4 linked regions of the Lytechinus pictus genome follow. The protein of the gene in region 2 purifies or fractionates together with the protein of the main gene of each other region. This does not show direct contact. Links are inferred from orthologs where the notes say so. Each region holds a gene or a part of one and is shown on either strand. Other genes may lie near its edges. The genes, in order: F-box/LRR-repeat protein 21-like, cullin-1-like, F-box/LRR-repeat protein 6-like and F-box only protein 38-like.

The links.
Region 1: the proteins of cullin-1-like (region 2) and F-box/LRR-repeat protein 21-like purify together in Homo sapiens (affinity purification with western blotting; 6 studies listed by BioGRID, with this or other methods). This does not show direct contact. The link is inferred for Lytechinus pictus from reciprocal best matches to the Homo sapiens genes CUL1 and FBXL3.
Region 3: the proteins of cullin-1-like (region 2) and F-box/LRR-repeat protein 6-like purify together in Homo sapiens (affinity purification with mass spectrometry; 4 studies listed by BioGRID, with this or other methods). This does not show direct contact. The link is inferred for Lytechinus pictus from reciprocal best matches to the Homo sapiens genes CUL1 and FBXL6.
Region 4: the proteins of cullin-1-like (region 2) and F-box only protein 38-like purify together in Homo sapiens (affinity purification with mass spectrometry; 4 studies listed by BioGRID, with this or other methods). This does not show direct contact. The link is inferred for Lytechinus pictus from reciprocal best matches to the Homo sapiens genes CUL1 and FBXO38.

Annotation. Positions count from the first base shown.
Region 1 is NW_026974140.1:17,213,446-17,220,437, forward strand, and holds the start of F-box/LRR-repeat protein 21-like, read right to left. Parts: upstream 3,009-6,992; 5' UTR 2,978-3,008; coding exon 2,779-2,977; intron 1-2,778. UniProt on the Homo sapiens protein: Substrate-recognition component of the SCF(FBXL3) E3 ubiquitin ligase complex involved in circadian rhythm function. Plays a key role in the maintenance of both the speed and the robustness of the circadian clock oscillation.
Region 2 is NC_087247.1:61,241,932-61,249,649, reverse strand, and holds the start of cullin-1-like, read right to left. Parts: upstream 3,003-7,718; 5' UTR 2,833-3,002; intron 2,732-2,832; exon of another isoform or gene 2,516-2,731; intron 1-2,515. UniProt on the Homo sapiens protein: Core component of multiple cullin-RING-based SCF (SKP1-CUL1-F-box protein) E3 ubiquitin-protein ligase complexes, which mediate the ubiquitination of proteins involved in cell cycle progression, signal transduction and transcription.
Region 3 is NC_087249.1:6,509,336-6,516,622, forward strand, and holds the start of F-box/LRR-repeat protein 6-like, read left to right. Parts: upstream 1-4,277; 5' UTR 4,278-4,836; intron 4,837-6,377; 5' UTR 6,378-6,397; coding exon 6,398-6,582; intron 6,583-7,287. Other genes in the region: protein mono-ADP-ribosyltransferase PARP16-like, read right to left, coding at 1,887-2,033, 3,364-3,555.
Region 4 is NC_087259.1:21,838,623-21,846,203, reverse strand, and holds the start of F-box only protein 38-like, read right to left. Parts: upstream 3,016-7,581; 5' UTR 2,532-3,015; intron 123-2,531; exon of another isoform or gene 93-122; 5' UTR 49-92; coding exon 1-48. Other genes in the region: putative methyltransferase C9orf114 homolog, read left to right, coding at 3,282-3,311. UniProt on the Homo sapiens protein: Substrate recognition component of a SCF (SKP1-CUL1-F-box protein) E3 ubiquitin-protein ligase complex which mediates the ubiquitination and subsequent proteasomal degradation of PDCD1/PD-1, thereby regulating T-cells-mediated immunity.

The sequences.
Region 1 (6,992 bases), on a different chromosome or scaffold from region 2:
TTCTCCATTCAAATCTTTGTTAATAATGAAATGTTTTAATCTATAAAGATTGGATATCAACTTGAGCTGATGGAAATAAAAAATGATAATCTGATTCAACATCCACCATCCATAAGATACCACTTGCGTGTAACATCAAAATAAGAACAGCTTCATGACACACTATGGCATACCAAAAGTACAGGTACTTGCCTAAAAACTAGGATAAAACCACAGAAAGTAGATTCTGACTCAAATGCATAGTTTTTAATCATTAATTTCCCTTTCCCCACTATCCAAATGTGATTTGTATTCTGAAAAAGACAAGATAATTAGCACTTCTTAAGAAGTATACTCGATCAGACATTAGCAGCCTAATATTGCATTAAAAAGAGGATTTGGTGATAGCAAATTAGTGCTGATTAAATTAATTCAATGTATGCATCCCTAAACACAATATGGGCATGAAAGTGAGATTTAAAAACCACTGAATCATTAATAGGAGAGTCTCGCAGAGGGAGAGAGAGGAAGTGGTTGAGGAAGGAAGATATGGCATGATGTTGGTGGGGGGGGGGGGTATGGGGACATGGGTAGTGTTCCCTACAGTTGGTATAGACACAAAAACCATATTCCCGGACATTGAACAAACAATGTCAAGGGTTTTTTTAAGTTGCAACATCAATTTTACACTCCATTTTTGGAAGCCATCTTGGATATTTTAACATACCGAACCACTGACCGTCCTTGTCCCAATGTAATATTTGACCATTGAAACCATAGTCAATAGTCATATCTCCCACGTGGATATGAAATGAGCTATGACCATTTCAAGTATCAACATTCATGTTAAACTCATTTTTTGAAGCCATCTTGGATTTTTGGACACACCTGACCACTAACTGTCCTTGTAACTTATCCCAATGTACTTCTTCACCCTCAAACCATTTTATAGAAACCAAATTAAAACCACTTAAATAAGTAATATATGAATTGTGGATTGTTAGCCTACTGCAGCCCTTTTGGGCGCCATCTTGGATTTTCCAGGTATACTTTAGCCTGTATCAACAAATTATTCTCCCCCTAGACCATGGAATATGAACCGATATTGGATTCTAGGGTGGATAATGAGTGAGTTGTATCCATTTTCAGTGAATGGCAGCCATCTTGAAAATAACTTCTTTCCCGCAACCGGATTTTTGTAGATTTTTAGTATGTTATTCCTGAGGTCAAATAGCATCAAAAATTGATGAAAAATCATTTGTTGCAATTTGTTCCGGGTAAGGGTATTTTTGATTGTATATTGTTTTGGGGTTTTTTCACCTTTTTTACAGTGTCTTTACCAATCGATGATGACAAAAATTAATCCAAACTTCTCTGACAGATAATCTCTTTTGTTTTCTTTTCAAATTGCACTTTTAATGTGACTGATAAGTAGTGAAAGTTTATTACCCTCTCAAAATATATATTTTTACTTTATGCAAAGCATTGTGAAACTGGATTGGACTTCTCTTTGTTAGTTGATTGTTGTGGGGTTTTTCTTATAATCTGAACGGTTCTTACAAAAAGTCTGATTTTGATTTAAACAAAAAGGTCGACATAATATATGGCAAACATACATGTATTGAGTTACCAATTTGTGTATTTTTGGCAGACATTTCCTGATTCTATCATCAGCACTAATTTTGTAATGCCCTGATATGCTGATTGCCGACCAGGGCTCCGTAACACAAAGTTTTGAGATGAATTGCAAATATGAAAGAACTGCATTTTTCGGTTCCCAGTCAGTACTTTAAACAGAGTGCGCATGCAACAATGATCGTGATTGGTCATTGGTATTTAGCGATTGATTGCAAACCTTTGTGTTACGGAACCCACGTGATTTTTAACAGAGAAACCAAATTATGTTTTAAAACTACAAAATTCATGTATGCACCATGATTCATGATTAAAAATGCACATATTTTCACCTTCTCTGTATACAAAAATATACATCATTGGCCATAGATTTATGAATTAGCTAGAAATTAAACAGAATGACAATTTGTTTTGATTAAAATATCAATAAAAATGTATGTATGATGATAATGATGAGAAATTCAGGGGCTTATTTCATATAACTAACTATTGTGGTTATTCAAAGTACATACCATAGTAAAAGGAACCAGCATTTCCATGGTAGTTACCAAAATACCAAAGATAATATCACCCGGGGGGGGGGGGGCATTCACATATATTGGTGGTACGGGGACGTGCTGCTTTGGTGACCCCCTTTTTCAGTTCTTTAGATACTCCGAATGACAAAAGTTCTATTCAGAAGCTGCCCCGCCCCGCTCGCAAGACCCCCGTTACGAAACATCTCGGTTCCCTAGCCCTGTCAAAATTGTCCAGCGCGAGCACGGCATGTGAGAGCTGCACGCACGGCTTCACAACTCCCTCCGCTAGCAGCTCCATGCAACGCTAGCGCCCCATTAGTCTGCTGTGCAAACCCTTCACTCGAGTAAAGGGTCTGAATTGCAGCCTACTCATGCCTGCAGACTACACCCACATGTACTGTACCGCAATCCCGTTCCATAGACCGTTTTTCACACTGCCGCCCGGTATATATTCAGTTCCCATACCCTGTATTTTACCCTTGTGGTCAGTTCCTTAGACCCCCATTTCAGGGTTCCGTGAGGCACACCCCCATCAAAATATAATTTGAGTCCTCCCCTCCCCCGGGAATATCACTGCATTGGATTGGATAATATCACCACAAGCATTTATAAAATAGACCTATTAAAAATAAGTAAAACTTCTTACAGTGGTTGGCTGAAGATGAAGCCAAATTCTTGTAGATGAGCCCTCTGATACATTGCTTCTTATCAGTAGTGGTTACCCTGGAGAAAGGTGTATAGATGACCTTCTTACTACTGATTGGTGGAGGAGGAGGACCAACGATACAACTCATCGGGTCCTTGGCGGTAGTTACAGCTTTCATGAAAGGACTGCTGTAAGCCATGCCTCGATACTACACTACTACAGTGCTGAAATGAAGCAAAGAAGAAGGAAAAAATAATAATTACAGCGAGTGATGCAACAAGTCTCTTCTCTTGAAGGGAAGCACAATTAATGAATGTTAAAGGGGAAGTTCACCCTGACAAAAAGTTTGTTGTAAAAATAGCAGAAAAAAATAATAAAAATACTAATGAAGGTTTGAGGAAATTATGTCAAACATTATGAAAGTTATTAAAATTTTAATTTTTTCATCTGTGACACCACGTAATATGAGCAGCTGCCCCATACATGTACATGTATGTAATGTAATAAACAAAATACACAAATTTCATTTTTTCAATGGTTCATGATGACTTTTTTTCTTTTTGGAGCGGGTGTGAAATGATTTGTCAATTATATACTGAAGGTACGATAAAAAAACATTTTCAAGAAAATAAAATTTCATTGATTTTTTGCCATACGATATAGGAAAGCTGCTCGCAAATTATTCTTTGATGGATTCTTCTCAAACCTTCACCAATATCCTTTATTTCAGCTATATTCACAATAACATTTTGCCAGGGTTTACTCCTCCTTTAATACAGGGAGTAGCCAAGATAAATCCAACTGCTTTTTGCTACTCCCTCACATTTACATCATCACTAATGTTTTTTTGTTTTTGCTATTTTTGTTATTTTTTTGCATTTGTATAATTCTTGATTTTATTATATTACCTATCTTTCAGACAACAACTGTTTTCAAGTAAAATGGATTAGTGACAATTATGTGATTTACAAAAACTGAAGAATCATGTATGCTTTAATGTGGTAAAGCTTGCACTAAATGTCTGTACTCTGTGGTAAATAAAAGGCAAGGCAACTCCTTATGCTGCAGTCATATTTCCCCTACAGCGACCGTACAAAACAGCCGTTTTATCAATTTTTATTCAAACCCAAAAATTAGTAAATGTTTAAACAGAGCTGTTTTTTACTTGCCGTAGGAGTGTGACTGAGGTATAAAATTTTACTCCTAAACCAGAAAATGGTTGATCTAGAGATTGAGATTGATTGACACTAATGGGGAAAGAGGATACATCTAAAAAAAAGGAAAGACAAAATTCCATCAAATAATTTCAGAAGATGGGATATTCGTATATTCGATGAAAATCCTTTCAGGTACTCAATTTCTGCTGCTGGTCAACGTTACTATCATATGACATGGCAATACTCACAATCACACATTCATTCTGATAATTACTATAGGGGGATGGTATGCCCCACAGGTATCATGAAAGGGAAAGTCCATCCCAACAAATAGTTGACTTGAATAAAAAGAGAAAAATCAAGCAAGCATAAGACTGAACAAAATTAAAATCAGATAGGAAAGTTATGTGATATTTTTAAGTTTCGCTTCTTTTTCACTAAACAATTGTATGCATGCACAACTACATGTAAGTAATATGCAAATTATGAGAGTCAGTGACATCACTCACTATATCTTCTTCTTTTTTTTTTGAAATATGAAATATTTATCTTCCTCCTGATTGTCATGTGACACAATGTTTTATTCCTTCCTGAACATGTGTAATATCCATCATTTTAACATTTTGAGGGTTTTATAATAAAGAGTGTCCTTATTGTCAAATCTTCAAACATTGAAATATTTAATAATTCAAATAATAAAAGCAATAAAAAGATATAGAGAGTGACATTATTGGCTCTCTCTCATTTATCAATGGGTTGTGCATATAACTGTTTTGAAAAAAACAAACGAAACTTGAAAATAACATAAACCTATTTTTTCTGCATCCGATTTTGAAGAAAATTCAAGAATTATGTTTGTTTGATTCTAATTGATTCTTTTTCTGGGTTAGACTGGCTGGACCTTTAAAAGAATTAGATTAGACTTTTTATTTCAAAGTTAAAATTAGGCAAGACCAAGTTCTTTGTGACAGGGAACTTTTGGGTATCCTTTCTTCGAAGAACTATTTTTACTCATTCATGCATGAAACTCATGAAAGAGTAATTATATGAGTTATAGACATACTTGTAAGAGGAGATTCTAAGCTTTACAATGATACATGTAGGTCATTTGTCGATTATATTTATGGTTAAGTTAAGATAAATGAACAATAATTCTCGGTTTTCTTTTTGTCAGACGCACAGTTTTTTTTTTTTTTTTTACCAAAATAGCATTAATTTCAATTTAGAGCTTTTTGTAAGTAAGGTTGGCAACAGATAGGGTTTAAATTCCTCTTTGGCAGAGCTACCCTCTCAGTATACAGGTAAACTACTATTGACATGTGTCATGTTTGTAACTGCACGTTTTTGCGGGGAAAAAATGAAATGAATTAAAATGAGCTGAACACTTGTGACAAAAACATGTAATAACTCCAGCTTCTGATCACATCTAATAGAAGGGAATCAAGTTTCAATAATGAATGCTCAAGATCTTATCATGAACCGCTTCTATTTACAACGCCTACTTGTGATATATTCCTCTATAGAGCTCACTAGCTCCCTAGATTTCTCAGATACATGTATGTACATATAGGTAAATGTAGAGCCAACTGATTACCATAATTTCTGGGCCAGAGGCATTTGCATCCCTACAGTGTACAAATGATTGCTGAACGAGATATATGTATGTAGGCCTCTGTATGTGGAAATTTTATTGTGCAAGTGTCTGAAACATATTTCTTTTTCCTTATTTTTTCACTTTACCAGTAAATACAATTGTGTATGGAAATAGTAAAATAAATCAAGCCTGGGTCAGGATGATTAAGATGCAGATCTTTCCAGTATTCTGACGAAACAATATATAAAACATGATAAAATGACAGATCTTCCAACATCAATGCCGATCAATCGAGACATGTTTTAAAATTATTTTTCGATGCTAATGATTCTAAATAAATTTTTGATACCCTAAGGAATTATCCCTTACAGGCTTACACCCCAAGAAGAAATGATGCATCTTCCACACAGGCCTACAGTGTAGGGGAGGCGGGGTACAAGTTGAGCATAGGGGCAAGTTGAGCCACCACCCCCAGGCCAATAATGAATGAGTCAGACATTGTGGTGGTGTCATGTATTGATGACCCATTACATAACCCTTAACCCCACTACATTGTTTTCAACTTTGAAACAAAAAGTAATTTTTTAGAGGGGAAAATACAAATTTCAGCAAAAAAGTAAAAAAGGGTGTGAAATTGATAAGTGCTTTTTACCCCCACACGTCTTTGAATATAATAAAGAAATAAGAACAATATTGTTAGTCCAGGTATGGATTCTCATTCTTGTCATAGTCTTTTAGATGTTGGATGCGTAAGAAATGTTTGGATGTGAAAATATCGCATTAAGTTCGGACTGGGGTAATTTGAGCCAGCCAACATGGGGCAAGTTGAGCCATAGTAATTCTTTAAATGTATAATACTAACAAGTGGAATGCCTCTGGCGGTCTCACCTGCATCACGCGATTCAATATAGCAGCAGTGCTGACTTTGAAAACTACTATAACTCGCACAAGATGGTCAGTGATACTTGGTTACTCTCATTTCCACGTTTTATGAACTAGACCAATACACTTACAGAGATATGATGGTAATTCAACAAATACCCCCAACGTGGCCAAAGTTCATTCACCCTAAATGACCTTTGACCTTGATCATGTGACCTGAAACTTGCACAGGATGTTCAGTAATACTTGATTACTATCATGTCCAAGTTTCATGAATCAGATCCATAAACTTTCAAAGTTATGATGGTAATTCAACAGATACCCCCAATTCGGCCAAAGTTCATTGACCCTAAATGACCTTTGACCTTGGTCATGTGACGTGAAACTCATGCAGGATGTTCAGTGATACTTGATTAATCTTATGTCCAAGTTTCATGAACTAGGTCCATATATTTTTTAAGTTATGATGACATTTCAAAAACTTAACCTTAGGTTAAGATTTTGATATTGATTCCCCCAACATGGTCTAAGTTCATTGACCCTAAATGACCTTTGACCTTGGTCATGTGACGTGAAACTCA
Region 2 (7,718 bases):
CCTTTTGTTCAACGGAAAGTTGTATTTGTGCTAGTCTTGTGTGAGGACCAACTTATTACGTAAAATTTGTAAATGGAAGGCAGGTTCTTATATGTTAAACCCTTGACATTAAAAAAACAGTGTAATGCAAGGTTTTATATTTTTCAATGTTCAATTAAAGAAGCTTCATTTTGTAAATTATAAATGCCTATCATGCTACACTTACAATGGATACATATATACATGCACATTACACATCTACATGTATACTGTATAATGTATTTACATGTACGTACAGTTTGATGTTTTATACCCTTGGCCATTTAAAGAATGATGGAAAGTATTAGATTTGAGGATATCAATTTATGGTTTTGTATTTTAAAACACAATTGATCACTTTTTGTAAAAAAATGAAAATTCCCCAAAATTCCCAAAACAGGCCCCGTGAATGCGTGATGATAGGTAAGGTCTAACGTTAGTTCTAAGTTAGATCTAACATTAGGGGGCCCTACATGTACATCATGTACGGTAGTGTGACCTTAATTTGCGCGTTACCCAATTTTGCGAACGGTCGAATATCTCAATATCTAATTGATATCTTAAAAAACTTATATCACCAATAGAAAGAGCGACTTAAAATTACTCAGTATGGTAATTTTGTTCAAGGTAAGGTCTCGATAAGTCTATTTGTGAAAATATTGGCAAAACATCAGCAAATTTTGTTACCTTTTGCGTCCAATCTTCTGGACAAGCATCAAGAAATCGCCAGTTTGCAAGCAGTATCTCCAAATAAGTACGGTTAGTAAAATGTGGTACCAACCGAATTTATGGCATTTTAACTTCCATCTGATATAATTATCTTACCTTTGTCTGAGCACTTGATTTCAACTCTAAGACTAAACTCTAAAGCCTTGCAAAACGATCGTGCGCAAATGAAGATCACACTTTTTCAGCCGAGCACGCACTAGTTGATCGCCATGGAATTTTAAGATCGCGATACAAGCGAAACCCTAGACCAAAAGCTTCGGTCTCTGTTATTGTTAAATTGGTTGTTCCGCTGAACTCCGTTGGCTCCACTTACCAAATACAGAGACCTAAGTTCTAACTCGATCTGTACAGGGACTCAATGGCCATATGTTAATGTATTAAGTTCGGATAAACCAAGGATGTGGGAGTTGCACGACAGCTGAAGTATATCACTGTTTTTGTCCTGAAAGTTTTAAGTTTATTTTTCAACATTTTGGTGCATTTCAGGCCAAAACAGAATAATAATCTTTGTTTGGTACAGTTCTGTTTATACATTTTTATGAAATAAAGACAAAAATCGATAAGCCCCGTCGGGGGGATTTTGCATTGTTAATCCCCTAATGGCGGCTGCACGATCGCGAGGCTTTTGTGAGGAGAAATAAAAATGTTTAAAAACTCCTAGAAACAGACGGCTGCCAGCTGTCTAGCGAAACCCTAGACAGCTGGCAGCCGTCTGTTTCGAGGAGTTTTTTTACTTTTTTTTTTTTAAATTTCTCCTCGTACACAGACGGCTCGCTAGCGTGCAGCCACCATTAGGGGACTTGCAATGCAAAATCCCCCCGTCGGGGCTCTTCAATTTTTGTCTTTAATGAATAAAAATTTTGAAAATTAACGCGACCAAAATGCAAATTAATATTCCCTCTTGGCATTAATTGCCCAAAAATGGAGAAAAATCAAGTTAAAAGGAACAAAAACAGTGACTTACCTCGGCTGTCGCGCAAATTCACTTCCCCGTTTTATCCGATCTTAAGTACATAAACATATGGCCATTGAGTCCCCTGTACAGATCGCGCTAGAACTTCGGTCTCTGTATTTGGTGAGTGAAGCCAACGGAGTTCAGCTGAACAACCAACATAACAGAGACCGAAGCTTTTGGTCTAGCGAAACCCTTGACCTACTTTATAATTCTGTCAAGCGAATTTGACTTTGGGGTCTTGCCTTCTGTTTGGTATTTATGATTTTGATTAATTTTGTGTGAACTGTGTCTGTGAGAAATTTTTGATTGAAAATCAACTTCATGATAATTTTTAAAATGTGCGCAAATTATGGTCACCCCATCATATGAATTGATGTAGATCTAACATCGAGGGATCTACATGTAGATCTAACTTTGTTAGATCTAAAAAGTTAATATTAATCTATTGTACTTATCCGATTTTGCACGACATTGTCACCGACAACACAAACACAACAGGCAACACCACTCAGATTTCAACAGACAACACCGTCCGTAGTCTGACTGTACTTCATTCTACTTGTCTTTGTCTATTTACATCACACACTCTCAGCTCAAACATTGTCAAAATAAATAAGACTTAATTATTTGTAAACAAATTTTCGGCATTACTTCTATGAGACTATGTGTTTAACTAAGATCGCATGCTCGATCTGTAATGAAAATCATAAGTCAGAAAAAAAAGACTTAGGCCTAAGTTAAAGTTAAACTGATGATATTTAAACAATTAAGACTTAACTTAATTAAAATTTAATGTCACTGACATTGACTGACCTCAGCCATTGTCAGCAGGAACGCAATTGGCAATAAACAACATGAAAAATCGACATGATCACATGTAAATGTTATCTAGATCTACACGACAGAACAATCGAATATAAATTGCTGCACTCTCTCTGTAGACGTAGTGTAGGGAGTGTAGCTGACGTCTGACTGAGCAGTCTTGTCGACTCTGTGACTGCGACTCAAGATCTGTCGCATTTGTTCATCCAGCTCAATTCAATGGAGTTCTCCAAACAACTTAATAAACCACAAATTCAATATATTTGTAATTAGAATATTTAGCATGAAAGAGGTCTATGTTAAATTACCTTAACTTTCGTCGATTGAATTATGGAACTGTGAAGAAAATGTTGTTTTTTAATGGTATAAATGTTGATAAATCACCGGTACCATTTCGGACGTCTGTTAATGTTTTTCATGCGCACCGATCGTGCACACACCGCGCGCACTGCCTGCACCGTGAATATAGCTCGCGAGTGAGCGCGCACAACAAATGATACTAGTACTAGTTTATAAATATCTATATTTCTAAAGTTATGACTGCGAGGCTTTGTGAACACTGCATAAAAAGAATTTCGGCTCAGAATTTCTATTGCATTTCATTATTCAATTTTCCTAGAATTTGAATATAGTGTTTATAGATGACAAAACATAAAAACAAGTTTAGACGTACATAAAGATAGTTTTAAATTTAATATGTTTTTGTTCCCTCCGACGAACAGCCAAGGTCCCATGGTGTAATGGTTAGCACTCTGGACTTTGAATCCAGCGATCCGAGTTCAAGTCTCGGTGGGACCTCTTTGTTTTATTTTTTTTTTTCATTCCTCTTACAAGCGTTTGTATATATTATTTGCTATAAAAAGCATCTATATATTATATTTGCGAAAAAAGTGAGGGGTCGTAATTACTTCCAGCGCACACAGGAACATCTATAAAGCCTACATAATATAGCGAAAGCAAGTCCAGGGTATAAGATTTCTCATTGACTGGTCATAACCTGTACAGTATTAAACAAAATAATGCGAGCGCAAACCGCCGGGGTTCATTTATTTATTTATTTATTTATTTTTTTTTTTTTTGGGGGGGGGTAAATGACTTGAAAATATTACAAAGGCACTTTTATTGTACGCTTGATTATACAAAATTGAAAGCGCGAGCTGAGATTAACTATCGATAAAATGACCGGGTGGGTACGTGTTTCATAAATCAATTATTCGCATTATGTACTACACTTCTTTAAATTCGGTCCGACCATTGTTAAATGGTTTGATGTGTTTTATGAAAATGCTCAATCTTGTGTTTTAATCAATGGACACCTGTCTCCCAGATTTTCAATAGAGCGAGGCTGTCGCCAAGGAGATCCATTGTCTCCATATATTTTTCTATTATGTGCTGAAATACTTGTTTCGACAATCAACGTCAATAGATGGTTTGAGGATGCCCTCTGGTAAATGTCATAAAATATTACAGTATGCAGATGACACTCTTCTGACATTAAACGGTTCAGAAAGAGAATTGAGTAGTGCTTTTGACATCTTGTAAAAATATAAAACAATATCAGGTTTGACTGTTAATATAACCAAGACACATGCATGCAATATGGATTGGAGGATACAAGAACAAGAAAGACTGTATTCTTGCCAATGGGAATTTGAATTGGGTATTTGATGAATACTTCAGATATTTAGGTATAGATTTTTGTACAGATCTTCAGAAAATGACAGTGCATAATTACAATGAAAAGTTTAAAGAGATCAAAAGTCAAATGACTTCATGGTTAAGACGTTACCTGACGGTCCTTGGAAGAGTTACGGTTGTCAAGTCATTGTTTGTGTCTAAATTGAACTATACTTAATTCTTTCTCTCCCGAATCCAAGAGAGTTATTTCTAAAAGATTCCCAATTTCATAGATTCATATGGGGAGAGAAACCAGATAAAGTAAGTAGAAATCAAATGTCTCAGAGTTATTCTGAAGGTGGAGTAAAAATGATAGACATAAATCTGCAATGCCAGTCATTGAAAATTTCTTGGATGAAAAAAATGATAAACGGTTCCATTGACGGTAATATTATTTGTCTTCTTCAGTCTTTTTTTGCATAAAACGCAAAACTTGGATCTTTATATGGGAAATAGCTATTTTTCTAGAAAGTGGCACACGAAATTAAAATCCTTTTTGGAAAGAAATGTTCTTAGCGTATAGCACACTGTTATCTATGCACTAAATTTAATATACCTTGCCAACCCTTATGGAACAATGATTTTATCAAAATAGGTAATAGCTCAATTCACAGTAGATCTCTAAATAATAGGGGTGTTCGTTTCGTTAATGATATTTTAGATGGCAATTTCCTCTCTTTGAATGACCTTCAGGAAAAATACAATGTTCAAATAAATTTTCTTTTTTACCGTGGATTATGTGATGCCATAAGAGACGGTTTTAGCAGTGGCACACACTTTAGCAAGTTCCAAGAACCTATTATCCCTGATACAATAGCACTTGTTATGAAATATAATAAAGGTTGTTCACACATCTATACGATTCTTAAAAAGAAAAGAAAAGTGGAATGTAAAAGTTTTCTTAAGTGGAAGTGTATATTCGATATGAATGACAAGCAATGGCAGTCGTATTGCTCTATTTGATTCAGTTGTACTAATACCGATGTGAATTTACGTTGGTTTCAGTTCAAAATAATGCAACGTATTTATATACAAATGAAATATTGTTTAAAATTAATTTAGCTCAACAAAAAGAATGTACTTTTTGTAATGTACACCGTAAAACAGTTACTCGTCTACTTTGTGAATGTACATGTATTAAACATATATGGGACAGGTTTGAACAATGGATATTTCTTAAAACTGGAAATAGAATATTTTTCTCTAATAAAGAAAAATTATTTGGTTTAAGAGGTTCAAGTAATTATGCATTAAATTGTTTATTGATAGTGATACGACAGATGATTTACAATTCCAGAGTAAAACATAAATTACCTGTTTTTGATAATATCAAATTTGCACTTCAGAATTATTTCAAGAATGAAAAATATATCGCAGAGTCAAATTGTAAAATGGTAAAGTTTACAAAGAAATGGTTTCAATTACGTGCCATGTTTACATGAAGTGATCTGTTCAGTTCCCTTTCCATGTATATACATATGAATATTATTGTTCATTTACTCCTTGCTTTTTCCTTAAATTGTTTACTATTATGTGAACCTGACAGTTCAATTTATGTATTTGTTGCAATTACTGTTGTACTGTATTTCGTTGTTATTAATTTGATTTGTCATTGAAAAGATATCTTGTTATGTTTTGAATAATAATAAAATCCCTGTGGAGGGGAATAAATTGAAAAAAAAAAAAAAAATCAAGTGGCGTAACTCAGTACGCCCCCCCCCCCCCAACGGCTGGCCAAAAAAAAAAAAAAAAAAAAAAAGAAACAAGGTAGAAAAGGAGAAAGAGGGAGAAAGGAAGAGAAACGTAATGGGGAAGAATAAATTAGTTGTATATTGTATTATGTGTGAAGAAATACCCCCAAAATTTTTCAAAATTCTCTTTTAATATTTTCTATTTAGATCTGTGCTTACTTTCAGCCAGAATTAATTACTAGTATCCAAAATCTATCAAAAATTCCACTTTAATACAACGCCACCACTCACAGCTGTTGTTTGTTTTGAATCTTGAATGAACGTAGTAAAATCAGCTGAGTGTGTTTACTACAGCAGTCAATGAGCATAGTAACGGAGGCAGATTGTGCTATTTTTAGAACCACAGCAATACATAGGATTTAGTACGTGGGACAAGGTTAGGTTAATGGCGTGCACGGTGATGCACGGAGCGAGTTTTCTCGATAAATTGTCACTTACCTTGTAAATGTCTTTTAGGTGAGGAGCTTGATGCTCTATTTTTCCCTTTTATGATAAAATGATGTCTTTAATGATCCTATTTTAGTCACTAGAAGTGATTATTCCCTACCGGAAATGGTACATTCTGTATTTCGTCTTTCGCGGGTGATGACGTCACAAACTTTTGGCCAATCACGTAAGCGGGCAAATCAAGTTTTTGTCAGGCGATAGGGGCCCGATGGCTAGGGGTATAAAAGGGGCAGAGGGTGAAAATTTCTTCACTTTGCATCTTTGAGAGTATTTGTCTAGAGAGAACTCCAAGCCAGTCTTCCAGTTGAAAGTACTTGTAAGCGTTTGACCTTAGCAAGAATCGTGAGTGGAATATTTCTTTAAACTTCTTAAGGTTATATAATATCCCCCCCCCCCTTTTCTATAAAAAGGAATTTCTAATTAAATTTGTGAGAACTGGAATTTCGAAGTTCTTTATAGAAATTTTAGGCTTGATGCCCGATCGATGAGATGAATATTTTTATGTCTGCCCTTAACATTGGTCTTACTCTTAGAGATATTACTTGATTGCTGATTTTATTTTGTATGTGGTACACAACAGAATTTAAGGAGAGTTTTGTTTTGTTTTTCCCTCTTTCTCAATTGATAAACGCAGAAGTATGAAACATCGTAACGTTAAGGAAATTGGGGTAACTTAGGGACAAAAGTGCAAGGGTACCTCGTAGTTATGTAGTCTTTAGTTTGAGTTTGTTTTGTACCTCGTAGTTGCCTATAAATCTAGGCTTAAGTCTTTTACGTCTTGACAGATGAATATTTAGATGTTATTTCATGATGTGTCTATGGAAATGTTGTAGACTGTTTTTAAGTCAGAGAATGTGGATGTAGGCCTAGATTTTATTGTATTGTGCATGGAAGAATATGAATTCCCCCCCCCCCCCCTTCCTTCGACGAAGTTGGCTGGCGTTGTACAGAGAGGTCGAGGGCAGCTCGAACTCAGTACGGTAGATTGACGGCGGCAGAAATGAGAGGTTCGACAAGTGACAATCCTGAGTAAGGAACGTCATCGTGCACCGGTACTCTCAGTACTCTGTACTTCTCATCATCGTGCATCGCGTACTCTCAGTACTCTGTACTTCTCATCGTGCACCGGTACTCTCAGTACTCTGTACTTCTCATCGTGCACCGGTACTCTCAGTACTCTGTACCGTACTTGTCATCGTGCATCGCGTACTCTCGGTACTCTGTACTTCTCATCGTGCACCGGTACTCTAGTCTCAGTACTCTGTACTTCTCATCGTGCATCGCGTACTCTCAGTACTCTGTACTTCTCATCGTGCATC
Region 3 (7,287 bases), on a different chromosome or scaffold from region 2:
TACTACTACTACTACTACTACTACTACCACTACCACTACTAAATTGCTTCTAGTAGTAGTAGTACTACTACTACTATTTCTACTACTAGTACTACTATTTCTATTACTACTACTATTACTACTACTACTACTACAACCACTACTAAATTGCTACTAGTACTACTACTACTACTACTACTACCACTACCACTACTAAATTGCTTCTAGTACTAATAGTAGTAGTAGTAGTACTACTACTAGAAGCAATGCTTCTAGTAGTAGTAGTACTACTACTACTATTTCTACTACTAGTACTACTATTTCTATTACTACTACTATTACTACTACTACTACTACTACAACCACTACTAAATTGCTACTAGTACTACTACTACTACTACTACCACTACCACTACTAAATTGCTACTAGTACTAATAGTAGTAGTAGTAGTATTAGTGGTACTAGTTGTAGTAGTTGTAGTAGTAGTAGTAGTAGTAGTAGTAGTAGAAGTAGTAGTAGTAGTAGTAGTAGTAGTAGTAGTAGTAGTAGTAGTAGTAGTAGTAGTAGTAGTAGTACTACTACTACTACTACTACTACTACTACTACTACTACTACTACTACTACTACCACCACCACCACTACCACTACTAAATTGCTACTAGTAGTAGTAGTAATACTACTACTACTATCACTAACTACTACTACTATTACTACTACTACTACTACTACTACTACTACTACTACTATTATTATTACTACTACTACTACTACTACTAACTACTACTACTACTACTACTACTACTACTACTACTATTACTACTAACTCCTACTACTACTATTACTATATTACTACCAGTACTACTACTACTACTTCTACTACTATTACTACTACTACTACTACTACTTCTACTACTACCACTACCAGTAATAATGATGATGAGAATATTAATAATAATAATAATAAAAATAATGATAATAATGATAACAATGATAATAATCATAATAACAATAACAAAAACAACACTAATGATACTTATAGTTTTAATAATAGTAGTGATGATGATAAAAAGTAATGAAAATTTTAAATGATAGTTATTAAACCAATACTAAACCAACCCTCGCATTTCAGTTGTATTTATCAAACTATTCATGTTTGAAATAAATGACCTAATCACAATAGGTTTAGATATCATTTGATATCAACAGATATCATTTGAATTAGTTGATTGAATAGGTTTACTGTCAACTTGATATTACATGATAGAAAGAGATAGAAAGTGAAAATACAGGCCTCAATGTTGGCACCACCATATTCCATTACATTTCTGAATTTGTTCATTTATTTGATACTTCATCAACTTCACAGTCAATCATTCAATCCGTCAAAAAATACTGCTCAAAAGATACAACTGCCCTCCCCCCCTAAAAAAAATGAAATTAGATAATTGCACTATTGGACAGTGAATGAAATGAACATACTGTATATTCAAAGATTAACAACGTTGCTGGCCAATGACAGAATATACTTTCAAAGCTAATCTGTTTGTTAATTGGTGCATAAATCAAATAATTTTTAATTCAAATATTTATTATGAAAATAATGATATTTTCTTACGCCTACGCATGTGAATGAGTCCCCAATTTTCTATTGTTTGATATGTTATTTTAGGGGAGCCACGCTCTACAAGCAATGCTTTTTAGTGGATCCCCTCATTTCCATACAAGATTTTGTTAAAGCTATTTTGGAAATTGTAGTTGATTTGTAATCATTTATAACCATATTTCATTTGTATTTGTTTATATATATTATGATGTATGTCTGATTTGTATTTGTAATGTTATTGATAGGAATGAAAATAAAAACTTGATCTTGAACTTGAATGGTACACATAGTAGATATCCTCACCTTTTTCTCTACATCTACTGATTTCACAGAGAAGATATTTGGTTCCAGGACCCACTTTAGAAGGTCCCATTCCTCTTGCTGCATACCACTCAATCCTCTTCCCTCTAATATCATCTTCATGTTAGGGATCCGCCCAGCAACAGATTTCTAAGAAAGAATACCAGAACAGAAGTAACGAAAATAGTTTAAACAATTTTAGTTATCCAGATCCTATTTAAAACTCAACAATGAACTTGAATTTATACCAATTAGGGAATTTCATTTGGTTGACATCAAAGTGATCAATTATAATGTATAGGCCTATTAAATTTTAAAACTTTCTGGGATATTGTCTGCTAAGCCAACTTCTCTTGGTAGTTACTATTCTGCAGATTATTTTATGGTGAAATGGACGGCAGCTGATGTTGTAAATTGTTTTTTTTTTTCTTGAATAATTTTTCTTTAAAAAATATCTAGTTAAAAGGATACTACATTTCATTTCAGTACATGTAGCATTTTAATATAATGTATATAATGAATCTATGTTTCACATTATATCTACCAACTTTGCCTTTGCTCTTTCCCTCTCTGCTAATTAGCTAATTCTTTCCCGCCTTTTTAGGGGTAGCACTAATGCCAATTCATGTACCCCCTTTAGGGATTCTTTTGTAATTTGATGTGCACCATTCCACTTTTATTGTTAGCTTGGGAGAGAGTCCAGTGACTCATGACACTGGCAGTAGCAAGGGCATTCCTTCTGTTTGTTGTTGGATAAGGATACTTGTACCTGCAGAAGAAAGTTTGATTTTGAAGTATAGAGAAGTAAGTTGATTTACATATATATATACTCTTATTTGAGTAAATTGAATGTTTATTTCATTGATATTTTGTACTATTACTGTGATATATATATATATATATATATATAATTACTCAATTTTTGGAATGATATTTGATTGAACATCAATAACAAGATTCTGCATCAATCATGGTACACAACTCAATCAAGCAAAGAGTAAATTACAAATCAGGGCATTATCCAGGACTCAACATTAGCAGTGGCCCCGGTGGTCTGGAGCAACAACAAAAAAATCTGTAAAAGCCCACACTTGGTAGCATGGTTGGGCTACGAAAGTTTTGATAAATTGTAATGTTTTCTATTGTTCAAGGGCCACCATATTTGCTTTTTTTATGGTTTTTGTGGACTGATCAGGCCACCAAGAAAAAAAAGTTAGTGGGGAGCATTGTATAATCCATATTCATTTTTAAAATTATCCTCATAATTGTAGAACAGTAAATTCATTATCCTTGGACTCTTTAAAAAGCGAATCAAATTTAAATCAATACTTTGAGCCACTCCACAGGACCAAGCGTAGCGTGCTCTCCAACTTCAAAGATTACACATGATGTGCCAATCCTAATATTTTGCTGAATCAAAGATAAAGTCTAAAGATGCAGATAAGTATATATTTTGAGGCTTTTTTAAGTTTAATATTACCAATGCATTGAAATCCTTTTCCCCGTCTGGTGTAAGTAGATGAGGGCCCGGTGGATATGGCCTCAGAACACTGTCATGCCGGTAGCTGTCCAATGCTCCAATAAATAAGCTCCATCTCAAATCTGCTGCAAGAACATCACTTTTCACAAGCTCCACTACACTCGTTTGTAATTGTGTATCAATCTCCCCCATTTTGACTTTCACTTGTTCTTAATCTTACTTAGTTTAGAATTTTAATTAAGTTCTCAACAGTGAGATGGCATCCATGAGGATATGGGAGAGCTAGAGCTTTGTCGACGACACATGACATAAAAGATAAACACCGACACTGATTCCTAAGTAATTGAGCTTCTGGCTTCTGCAGCAGGCTGGCCTGCGCCTGAGCTGTGGCTGCGCCGTGGCTGTGCAAAAGTTATGGACACGTCACTAGTAGTATTATTATTACCGGTATTGAAATTGAATGCACTTATTTGGCTCAGCTCAGCGATCAAGTTGAGGATTGTTGTTGACGTGTTCTGCAGACAAAATCCCACAAACTAGCTAGATATGATTTGTTACTGCTGGAGTTGGAGGCTGGCGCATGAACTGCTCTTTTTACAAAATTTAGCTGGACTTTTCCTCAATTGAAATTGATTTATTATCCATTAAATTTCGGGAATTTCCCTAAATTCGGAGATCTTGCTTTATGGAACGCTACTTTGGAATCATAACATAATGAGGTAAAATTTAATAATAATACTGAAAAAGGCTTACAAAGAAACAAAATCATTGTACACCTTTAACTTTGAATAATATTTTTAATTATAATTCTTCCAAATCATTATACCCAAGTAAAAATGAAATAATATTAATTCAAATAAATACAGGTGAAACGCGCTGCTTTCCATAAAACTCTTAATTGACCATGCGAATGAGAATGTGGTATGGTTTTTGGCGCGGCTAGTACCGGTATAGCGTAGACGCCGCGTGGCGCATGCATATGCATCCGTCTATAAGCTAACGTTAGATATCTACACTGTCACTGTACTGGACTACTGATCGGCGGCCGGCGGATACAGAGATTGCACCACAAGCTGCAATTATGCATTTATTAACGTAAATTTACTCGCTTTCTCCATAGATTCTCACAGCAAATGGACATTGTCTAGCAAGCTCTGATTAAGAATAAGATTGATGGATGGATTCAATCAAGACCAAGCTCAAATTAGATCTCTGAGTCTAAATATTAATTGGTCCAGCAGCAGTGATAGTACATCCAGATCCAGATCCAGACTAGTAATAGTATTACGTTAAGTCGTTAGACGTCGTAGCACTAGCAACTTAGCAAGTCATCAGACAATACTGAATCAGAGATATTTGGCCTTGCCCTTGGGCTGTTGGGAGCCGAGAGGAGAACAACACTGCACTCCCGACTGCACTGCCTCTGCTCTGGGCCAGGAGAAAGGTACATCACATCACATCACATCACATCAGGTACGGAAATGAAGGACTTCTCCTGTAGGTTTTCCGATCTTAACTTCCAGTAATTGACGATTATCTAGACAGTTTAAACTTGTGAGACTTTACGTGCGTTGAGAAATGGAGGTTTTAAATCTTTCCCCCCACCAAAATTTATCCAAACGATGTTTAAACATTTCCACTGATTTTGCTTCCACTACTTCTGTAGGCAGTTTGTTCCAGTCAGAAATTACTCTTTGACTAAAAAATTTGCTCCTAAGTTCCAACCGGGATCGTCCTGTGAAGAGCTTGAACTTGTGACCTCTGGTTTTGGTTTACTTTTGCCATTTTGATTTGTCCAAACAGGAAGTGCTTTGGGACATACAAAAATTACAAGCCTGTACGAGATTAGTCATTAGACCAAAAACTTTGGTCTCTGATATTTGTTCTGCTGAACTCGTTGGCTCCTCTCACCAATTTACAGAGACCGAAGTTCTAACTCAATCTGTACAGGGTAGACAGCCGGGCCGGCAGCCGTCTATTTCAAGGAGTTTTTAAAAACATTTTTCAATTTTATTATATTTCTCCTCGTACACAGACGGCTCGCTATCGTGCAGCCACCATTATTAGGGGGTTGACAATGCAAAGTCCCCCCAACGGGGCTCATTGATTTTTGTCTATTTCATTAAAAAATATATAAAAAGAACTACCAAAATGAAGATTATTACCGTATTCTGTTTTGGCCTGAAATGCACCAAAACATTTGCATTGTCAACCCCCTAATGGCGGCTGCACGATCACGAGCCGTCTGTGTATGTGGAGAAATAAAAAAAAATTAAAATGTTAAAAAACTCCTCGAAACAGACGGTTGCCATCTGTCTAGTACGAGATAGGCCAGATCTAATAATATTGTGGATCTAGGCATGCTAGGGTAGGCCTAGTAGTAGAATCTAGATAGATCTAGACCTATGTCTGCACATCTGATTGTCAGATTGTAAAAATTCTTGTCTGTTTTGTCGATGTCTGAACTCTCTGATGTGATGTTTTGTCTTGAGTTTTAGCCTTTGAGGAGAATTATATTTTAACAGTTAAAGAGAAATTCCAGTATTTGCAGTAAACACTGATTTCATGAGAAAGTCTGTAAAACAAGGCTTAATTGTCAGTATATCATCGAGGATCTCGATCTGGTACAGTTACATAAACTGAACTTTGTGAAATCTTGAAATCTACGCTGAAAAATGTTCACACTGAAGATCACCAACACAGACAGGCACACGTGGGACAGTGTATTATTATTGCTAAAATAAAGACCCGACGGAAGTGACCGAATCCGCGCTTATTTTGCTTATTTCTCAGCAATTACACAATTTCTTCCAGAATCCTTTGGCACATATTTTTTATTCATACAAACAGACACTTGGGTGGTCATTATATTAGATTCTGTAAAAAGTCATTTTTAGATCGTTACCAAAACTGGAATTTCTCTTTAACATTTAAATTTGATAATTTCTAAAAACAAATTGTTTCATGCATTCAATCTGTTCTTTTCTTTCATTTTTTTTTTCACCTTCCTGTAGAATAAACACTCTCTTCCAGGATGCCAAAGAAGCGGATGCCGAAAGGGATCTTGGGTCTACCAAGTAGGAACATGCTCTTTTCCTTCACCCCTCGTAAGGGCGATGAATGGCCTGATGAGGAGGACGATGACGCTGATGACTCGGACTACGAGCCAGGACAAGATCTCATCCCAATGGTAGAGGACATGCCCAGAAGCTCTGATAGGTGATTATGTAGTCTATTAAACTCCACATTTTTATCCAACAGTGAAATGCACATGGTTTACAGGGGCCGCGGAACGGTTTTCAAAGTGGGGGACTGACCATGCAAAAAGTCACAATCCTATGGTAATTTTTACGTTTTTGTACACGGTTTTGGAAAAAAGTTGGGGGGGGGCTGAAGCAAACCCAGCCCCCCCCCCCTTCCGCAGCCCCTGATTTATATAATAAATGTTGAGTAAGTCCCTTTAATTGCTAGACTTTGTATAGTACGTGCCACACAGTGGTTTTAAAGCCAAATTGGTAAACCATCCGTAACTAAAGGACTGAAATGACATTGTACATTGTATAAATCAACATTAATTAATTTTAATGTTAATTTGTTATGTCATAATCTCACATCCATTTTGATATTTTATTATCACTAGATCTATACTATTATTGCCATATTGCAGCTACATGTATGCACCTTCCCTATGCACGTTAAAACCAATACACTATTCATCAAAGAGTAGGGTGTTCACTTGGTGTATTGCATTTGCCGGTCCCCGGCAAGATTCAAGTCAAGTCAATATTGACGTTCATATGCCATAACAATCAATATGGTGATTGTGGGCATTAACAGAAAGACAAGACTAGACAGCTCTTCATAAAGATCTTTCAATTTTCTCGCTGTCTCTATCTTTGATAGTGAATATCTAATTTTGATGGA
Region 4 (7,581 bases), on a different chromosome or scaffold from region 2:
CCTTGTTTTCATTCGTTTATGAACACTCTTGGACTTTGCCTTCGGCATCTTTGCTTGTGGTTTCCACTAGGTCCAGTTTTCACAACCAATTCCTGTTTTGAAAACAGAAATAACAGAAAATTAAGTCCAAGACATTGAAATCAAATTGCTGAAGTCTAAGAGAAATAGGGCATCTCAATGGGCTCGAAACTAATTCTAAACAAAGTAAAAAGTTAGATCTAGAGTCTACAGAATAGTGACCTAGCTACATGTAGCTAGTGTAGATCTAGTTTGTTTGAGATAGATCTATCTCAAAATTAAGTGGCACCCTTATTTATTAATTTATGTTAATTGTTGGGTAACAGACAGGCTCCGTAAATACAAGAGAAAAAAGATGAACATGCAAAGGGTCAACTTGGTCAATTTAAAGTAAGATTCTGACTTAGTTAGTTAAACTTTTTCTTGGAAGTAAAAGAGAAAAAAGATGTACGTATGCAAAGGGTCAACTTGTCAGGTTAAAGTAAGATTCTGACTTAGTTTCTGATTCTGAACTATTTCCCAACACCCCCTAAACGAGTTTTTCTCTGTGTGCAAAATACCCCCCTAAACAAGTTTTTCACAGGTTTCATTTACATTTTGGCCCCTAAACAAGTTGTCGCGTGGACATGCAGAGAGGTGACAAATTTCACAACCGTTTTCCCGTTTCCCAGGGTCATTGCTTTACAATCAGGAAAATCCTGAACACTTTCCAGAAAGGAGGAAAAAGGCCCTAGGAAAAACCTTTGGGAAAAAACATACACGAAGGCCTAAACACGTTTGGCTAGTCTTTAAAAAAAAGTTTTAAAAAGAAAAAAGCTTTGAAAAAATATAGCCTAGACCTAGAGCTAAATATGATTGACCCCGCGATTGACCATTGACCAGTTGTTGTTTTAGCTTATACGGCACGTAGTAGTGAATATTTGCGCCAGCATAATTTGCGATAATTTTTATATAACTTTTTCTGTACTTAAATCAATTCAGTAAAAAGAAGGTATAGCGCTGCATTATTTGTGCAATTTTGGGAGAATCACAACAGACTGTCATCACAAATCACTTAACCACTTTAGATGTATTTTCTGGCCAAGCCCGGATCAGTACAGCACTACATTGATCAAGTTTCTCGGCTTCTGCATGCTGCGCATGCGTAGTCTTAGGGCCCCCCAATACCAGTCAAGGCAGTGTGGTGTCTGTTGACGAAATGATCTCCTTCATCCAAGTTTCGAAATACAAAATGAGTATGGTGAGACTACCACATATCGACCTCCTCTTTTGAAACCGACCACCTTGCGCGCGTTAAAATTATTGCGTAATATATATTACAAACGATACGCGCGGGAGAGTAGGCGCAGTGTCCATAGAAACGGTAAGAATCAATTTTACGAGAAAAAAAGAAGCAACAAAAAGTAAAAAATTAGTAGAATTAATCAAAATTGTATTGACCAGACCCAAACCCCGCTGAAAAACCAAGAAATCCGATAGGAAACGGCTTTAGAACAAATATCCGTCGTCAATCGTCGAATCATGTGCCGGAGCTCGCAGTGGAAGTAGTGAGACGATAATTTAGCATGTTGACATCATAGAACTGATTTTGAAGAGTAAAAATATTTCGCCACCGTGACAAGAATCGGCCGTAAACTTAGCGTAACGCGGGTGGTCGGTTTCAAAAGACGGGTGCAAATGAGCAAATGTAAAATCGTCGTATCCGTTGTTTGTCGATATATACGCGGATTGAATCGAAGTCGCCGAGCGAAACATGGGAATCTGATCTGCTAAATTTTCTGCACAAATGAGACGAAAACTGGGTAAAATTGATGAATATTTTCGCAGATACGATGCTTAGAAGATTAGGTGGTCGATAAGGGGTAGTTCCAACCATACAAAATGGTTAGGTTCAAGACAATGCAAACGTTCCGAGTCTTGTGCAGTTATCGTGCATTTGGTTAACTTTCACACTTCATAGTTTATTCAATAAATTAAATGATTACAAATTAAACTCAGATAATACAAAAGGCCTATGTAATGCAGATATTAATAATATTAATAATATCGACACGTATATAATTATTGTTCAGATTTTAACAATTTTTTCTGCAAATTCTGAGGATGTCTAACAGTGAGTTTAACAATTTCTAACCATGCTAACATTTCTGCAAAACTTAGGAACAAAAGAAACACCAACAAAAGCATAATTTTTTTATAGTTACCCAAAAGTTTGTCTCACTGAGAAGCCCATTTGTTTTGTGTGAGGATGACAAAAAAATGGGTAATTTTTATGAGGAATCTGCTTATCATATTTTTATTTGCCACCAAGTTAATTGTTTTGCAGCAAATTAAATGTAAACCATGTAAACAAAGGAAATGGGTCTCCCAAACTGGAGACTGTCTCTGAAATTGGATACCCGAATTCTTTACAAAAGTCTCTGATATTGGACCTCTCTCATGGGAGTCAGTCTCTGAGTCCCATATTGGCCGTGTGCCTGGCTCTACTGACATACCGTCCCGGCATACCGTACCGTATTTGGTGAGTGGAGACAACGTAGTTAGCGGAACGACCGGTGTACAAAGACGCTTTTAGCCCCTATTGTGAGATTGATATCCTCCAATTTTCAAATCTGTGGAAGGGTTGAGCAAGCTGCATGCAATCATGCACTTCCCAAATAACAAATGAAAATCACCAATGAAGTCAGGCATCAGATACTGAGATAGATGATCAGGCTCAGGGCGAGTCTCTTTTTTGAAATTTGAGTTTGAGTCTTTCTGCATGCAGCCACAGAAATAATTGAATATTCCTTTGGCTTTGCTTGGAACATGTTGTTGCACCCCTAACTTAGCTAGAAATAGCTGTACCGGCATATGGCCATGATATTCTGACAGGAAACTACACGGGAAATAAACACAGCATGCACAAGACAGCAGTCAGCGGTGCATGCAGTGTCAGTGTGTAGCAGCTCACAATATGGCGCATGCATATACCGTACTCGACTCGCGCGATCGCCCTCGATCGAGCGAGCTCGCGCTAGTTAGCGCGCCTATCGCCAGGCGTATATCGGGTACCGGTACGGTCGGCCGCGCCGCGCCGGAGCTCGAGCGGGAGCCGGAGCGGTACATCAGCTGCAGCCGAGATCGAGACGGGGCAAGCGGAGCTGAGGAGCGAAAAACAGCAAAAAAATCGAGGACTTCAAACTGGTTGATTGATTGATGATAACCTCTTTTGGTCCCATTAAATAAAGGGAGGACGCGTTTGCTACCAGGAAGGGCTCATTATGTGCGACTCAAAGACAAGGAATACCCAGGTAAAATTTGGCTAACACACACAGGCTAAGTTTCTATTTAGCCATGATTTACTAACCCAGAGAGCTCCGAATCGCGGGCGGGAGCTCCCTGGGTTAGCCATGATTTACGGGCATAAGTGCACGCAATTACAATGCAGATAATTGCAATGGGGATATCACAGTTTTGTGTTGGATTCGCTTGAACTGCGTTTGTAGAGTATAATAGATCTAGTCTAGGTGGGGCTTGCGAAATGATGCCAAGAGCGTCCAACGCATAATGTTGTAACTTTTCTAACGCATAACGTCACACGCAGGACCAGGGTGACCAGATTTTACAAATTGAAATACGGATTACGGGCAATCAACAAAGCACACTACAGCTACACGAGCGGATCAACCGAGCCAGGTCTAAAAAAAAATCAACAAAGAATGCTACACCATGTTAGACTTGTAAAAAAATATAAAGAAAAGGAAGGGAGAGTGAACGAAAGAATGAAGGATCAAGAGAAAGAATTGAGGAAAGAAAGACAATGAAGGGGGAAATGAAGTAAAGAAAATTAAAGGAGAATAAAACCCTTGAAACCAGCTGAATCCATATCAAAGAGAAAAATCAAAGAAACATATTGTTGAAAGTTTGAGGAAGATTGAATGAATAATAAGAAAGTTATGAGCATTTGAATGTCGAGATCACTAATGCCATGTAGATCCTCCTATTGGCAATGCGACCAAGATCTGTGATGTCACACACGTATAACTCCCTCATTACTTTAGTACTTATTTCACTTATATTCTCACTTTTATTGAGTCTATCACAAGGTGAGGTGTTCTCTTTATGAGAGGAAAAGTACAGAGGTTTCACAACATTATATCATTGATGAATCATTTGTCATATGATTAGAATGAGCAAAAAGAGATGTTTTGGGGTATAATTTCAGTGTCCAAAAGGGGAGAGTTGTTCATCTGTGACATCATAGATCTTGGTCGCATTGCCAATGGGAGGATCTCCATAGCATTAGTGATCTCGATATTCAAATGCTCATAACTCTTCTATTGCTAGTCCTATTTTACTCAAACTTTTGTTGATCTTATTCTTTGATTTTTCTGCTTTCACAAAAGCTAACTTGCTCCAAGAGTTTCATTCTCCTTTAAGGAAAATATAAAAGAAAGTTAGAGTAAAAGAAGGATATAAGAAAGAATACAAGAAAGAAAAAGGGTTTCCATCATTCTTTGAAATTAATAAAGAAAGAAAGGAAGGGAAGATGTGTGAAAGAAAAAATAAAGGAGAGAAAGCAAAAAAGAAAGAAAGGCAGAAGAAAGAAAGAGTGAATGAAGGAAAGAAAATGTTTCCTTCATTCTTTGAAAGAAACAAAGAAATAAAAACATGAAGGGAGGAAAGAAGGAAGGGAAAGAAAAAATAAGGGAAAAAAATTAGAAGGAAGGAAAGGATTAAAGAGAGGGAGGAAGGAATGAAAATAGGAGAGAATGAAAAAAGAAAATAATGGAGAGAAAGAACAAAAAGGAGAGGAAGGGAGAAGGAAGCAAAGAAAAGTTTAAGTAAAGAGAGAATGAAGGAAGGAAATTTTAAAAGGAAGGAAAGAAAGAAAAATGAACAGAAGGATCAGGAAAGAAAGCTATATAGGAACGATTGGAAATAAAGATAGATGGAACAAAAAAGGGCAAGCACGAAGGAAAGGATGAAGAAAGAAGGATAGAAATGGAAGAAAAAGGAAAGAAAAGGAAAAAAAGTTCAAACTTCAATTAAAGATTGGAAACAACTAAAATGTTTTAGAAATGAGTAAAATTTCAAAGTGAAACATTGTCAAACTTCAAAATTAGATGAAACATCGCCGCATCACACACAGGCATCTCTCATCCCATTACAAGTTCTTGCTGGTCACAACAAGACTCAAAACGAAAGCTGAAACAACTATAGATCTAGTTATGAAAACTCAAAAACTTGCTTCTTCGATTACACCACCAAATCAGTAATCTGAGAATCCATAATATAATTATGAAAATTTCCCACCGATTTTGTGATTATTTTGGTGGAAAACTGTTTATCATGTGAGATTGTCTGCACCATTGAGAGTCTGCTCCGAGTACGTTCTGACTTCGCGCGTGGGTGTGTTTGTGTGTAGATCAAAAAAAAATATAACTAGAGATCTATTCGTTTGCAATGTATTGGGTAGCAAGAAAATCACCGCAGAACTTTGCAAAAGTTTACAGTACTCGATTTTATTGTTGTCTCTGCTTAGTCATCTGTTAGATATTTGATGAAAATTCTTCACTTTTATATTATATGTATTAATTATATTTTGTTCAATATTCTGAAATACAGGACAAATAGGTGTCCCGGGAAGGGTATGTCGGGACAAAGGAGCAAAATATGGGACGATCCCGGGAAATACGGGACGTCTGGTCACACGTCGCAACGCCTAATCACACAGACTCGCAATGCAGTGTCCAGTGACACTCAGTCACAGCGGTATTTGCTTCAGGACTCGAGTTACAGAAAAGACATGATTTTATTCAGTATTTTGTTTCATCGGAACATCTGTGTCTCGCCTGAATGAAGTTCGGCAGAGACCTAGTAGGAAATGTAGGATGGAGGGTCGGGTGTCCGGACACTTAATATTTTTGAAGTAGACCTTCTTTTTGTCTTTGGATTACACTAAAAATATGAATTCAATAGTTGTAATCATCTTCTATTTTGTTCTCTATAATATTTCCTAACATTTTGTACTAAAAATTGATGACACTTTCTAAAATTGATCGTCCGGACACACAACAACTGATAGTATGCACTTTTCCTGTTAGTCCAGTAGTCTGTTAAAAAAAAGTTTTTGTTCAAGCTGCTCTCATTTCTTTATTTGTGCATGAATTATGTTCATACTTGTACATGTGATCCTTGGGTAATATCAAATGTGACCCCATGAGAATGATGAGGTCAGAGGTCATCTAGGGGTCGATAGGTCATATGAGGTCATGTTCATCCCTTTCCGAAGTTTTTGTTCAACTTGCTCTCTTTTCTTTATTTGTGCATCAATTTTGATCACACTATTAGTCCAAAGGATCATTGGGTAATAAATACCACATAAGTACGACAATACACCAGACGGTGGACTGTACTGTTTCCAGAAGAAGAAGAAGAAGAAGTGTTGGTTGAAAATGGGTCAAAGGTCATCTAAGAGTAAAAGGTCAAGTTTTGGTTCAATTTGCTCTCGTATATTTTTTTTCTGCATCAGTTATGTTCACAATTGGTACATATGACCTTTGGGTAATACCACATGTGTGTCCATGCGGATGATGGCGTCAAAGGTCATGTAAGGGTCATAAGGTAAATTTTCGTTCAAATTGCTCTCATTTCATTTATATTTCTGCATAAACATGATAACACGTGGTACAATAGGTAATGCTGGGGGGGTACTCGACCAAAAAAGTGGTAGGTAAACATGTATGTCGCGGGCGAGACAAAAAACGGGGGCTTATTGTAAAAAGGAGGGTCCCTGAAACGGGCTTCGGAACCACAAATGTTTGTGAAAACGGGGGTCCTTGGATTGGAACGGGTTGCCTGCGTGTGAGTGCGTATGCATCGATCCCTATGGAACGGGCATACGTGCATGTAGCTAGCCCGGCGGCATGGGCGCTGGGTGCGCTTGGCAGAGGCGATGGTCGGACAGCGCTCTGCGGTCGCTTTTTTACCAAAATTGCAGCTCATTGTAGCAGATCAATGAAGCCGGAACGGCGTAACAAAAAATATGCGAAGCTTTGGAACAGATTTCTTTTCTTTTTTTCTCGATAAGAAGAAAATGCTATGCTTTGGAGCGGCTGTCTTTGTTCTGTTTCTCAATAAGATAACAATGCTATGCCTTGGAACGGAAATTTGAGTGTAAAAGTGGGGGTCCCCTCCGCGGCACATACCCACTATGCATTATATACTGAGTGCCCCCCCCCCCCCTGGGTAATGCCACATGTGTGTTCATGAGAATGATGGGGTCAAAGGTCATCTAGGGGCCAAATGTCATATTGCACATTCTATTGATCGTGAAATCAGGCCAGACTCGTGGTTAGTGAACCACCTTGTTCAAGACGTGTGTGAGGGTGTTTGGGTCAATGTTGTTTTGGGACAGTATATAAAGATATCTATATATTCTTTCACAACAAGTTTGACAACCCCTTTAAAAAATGATTTTATTCAGTTGAGAAAAAGTGAGTACCCTAGTGTCATAACTCCTGTGGGATGGCCGATTCTACCTGTTTTATTCGATGTTCCATGCTTTTGTTTGGTGAA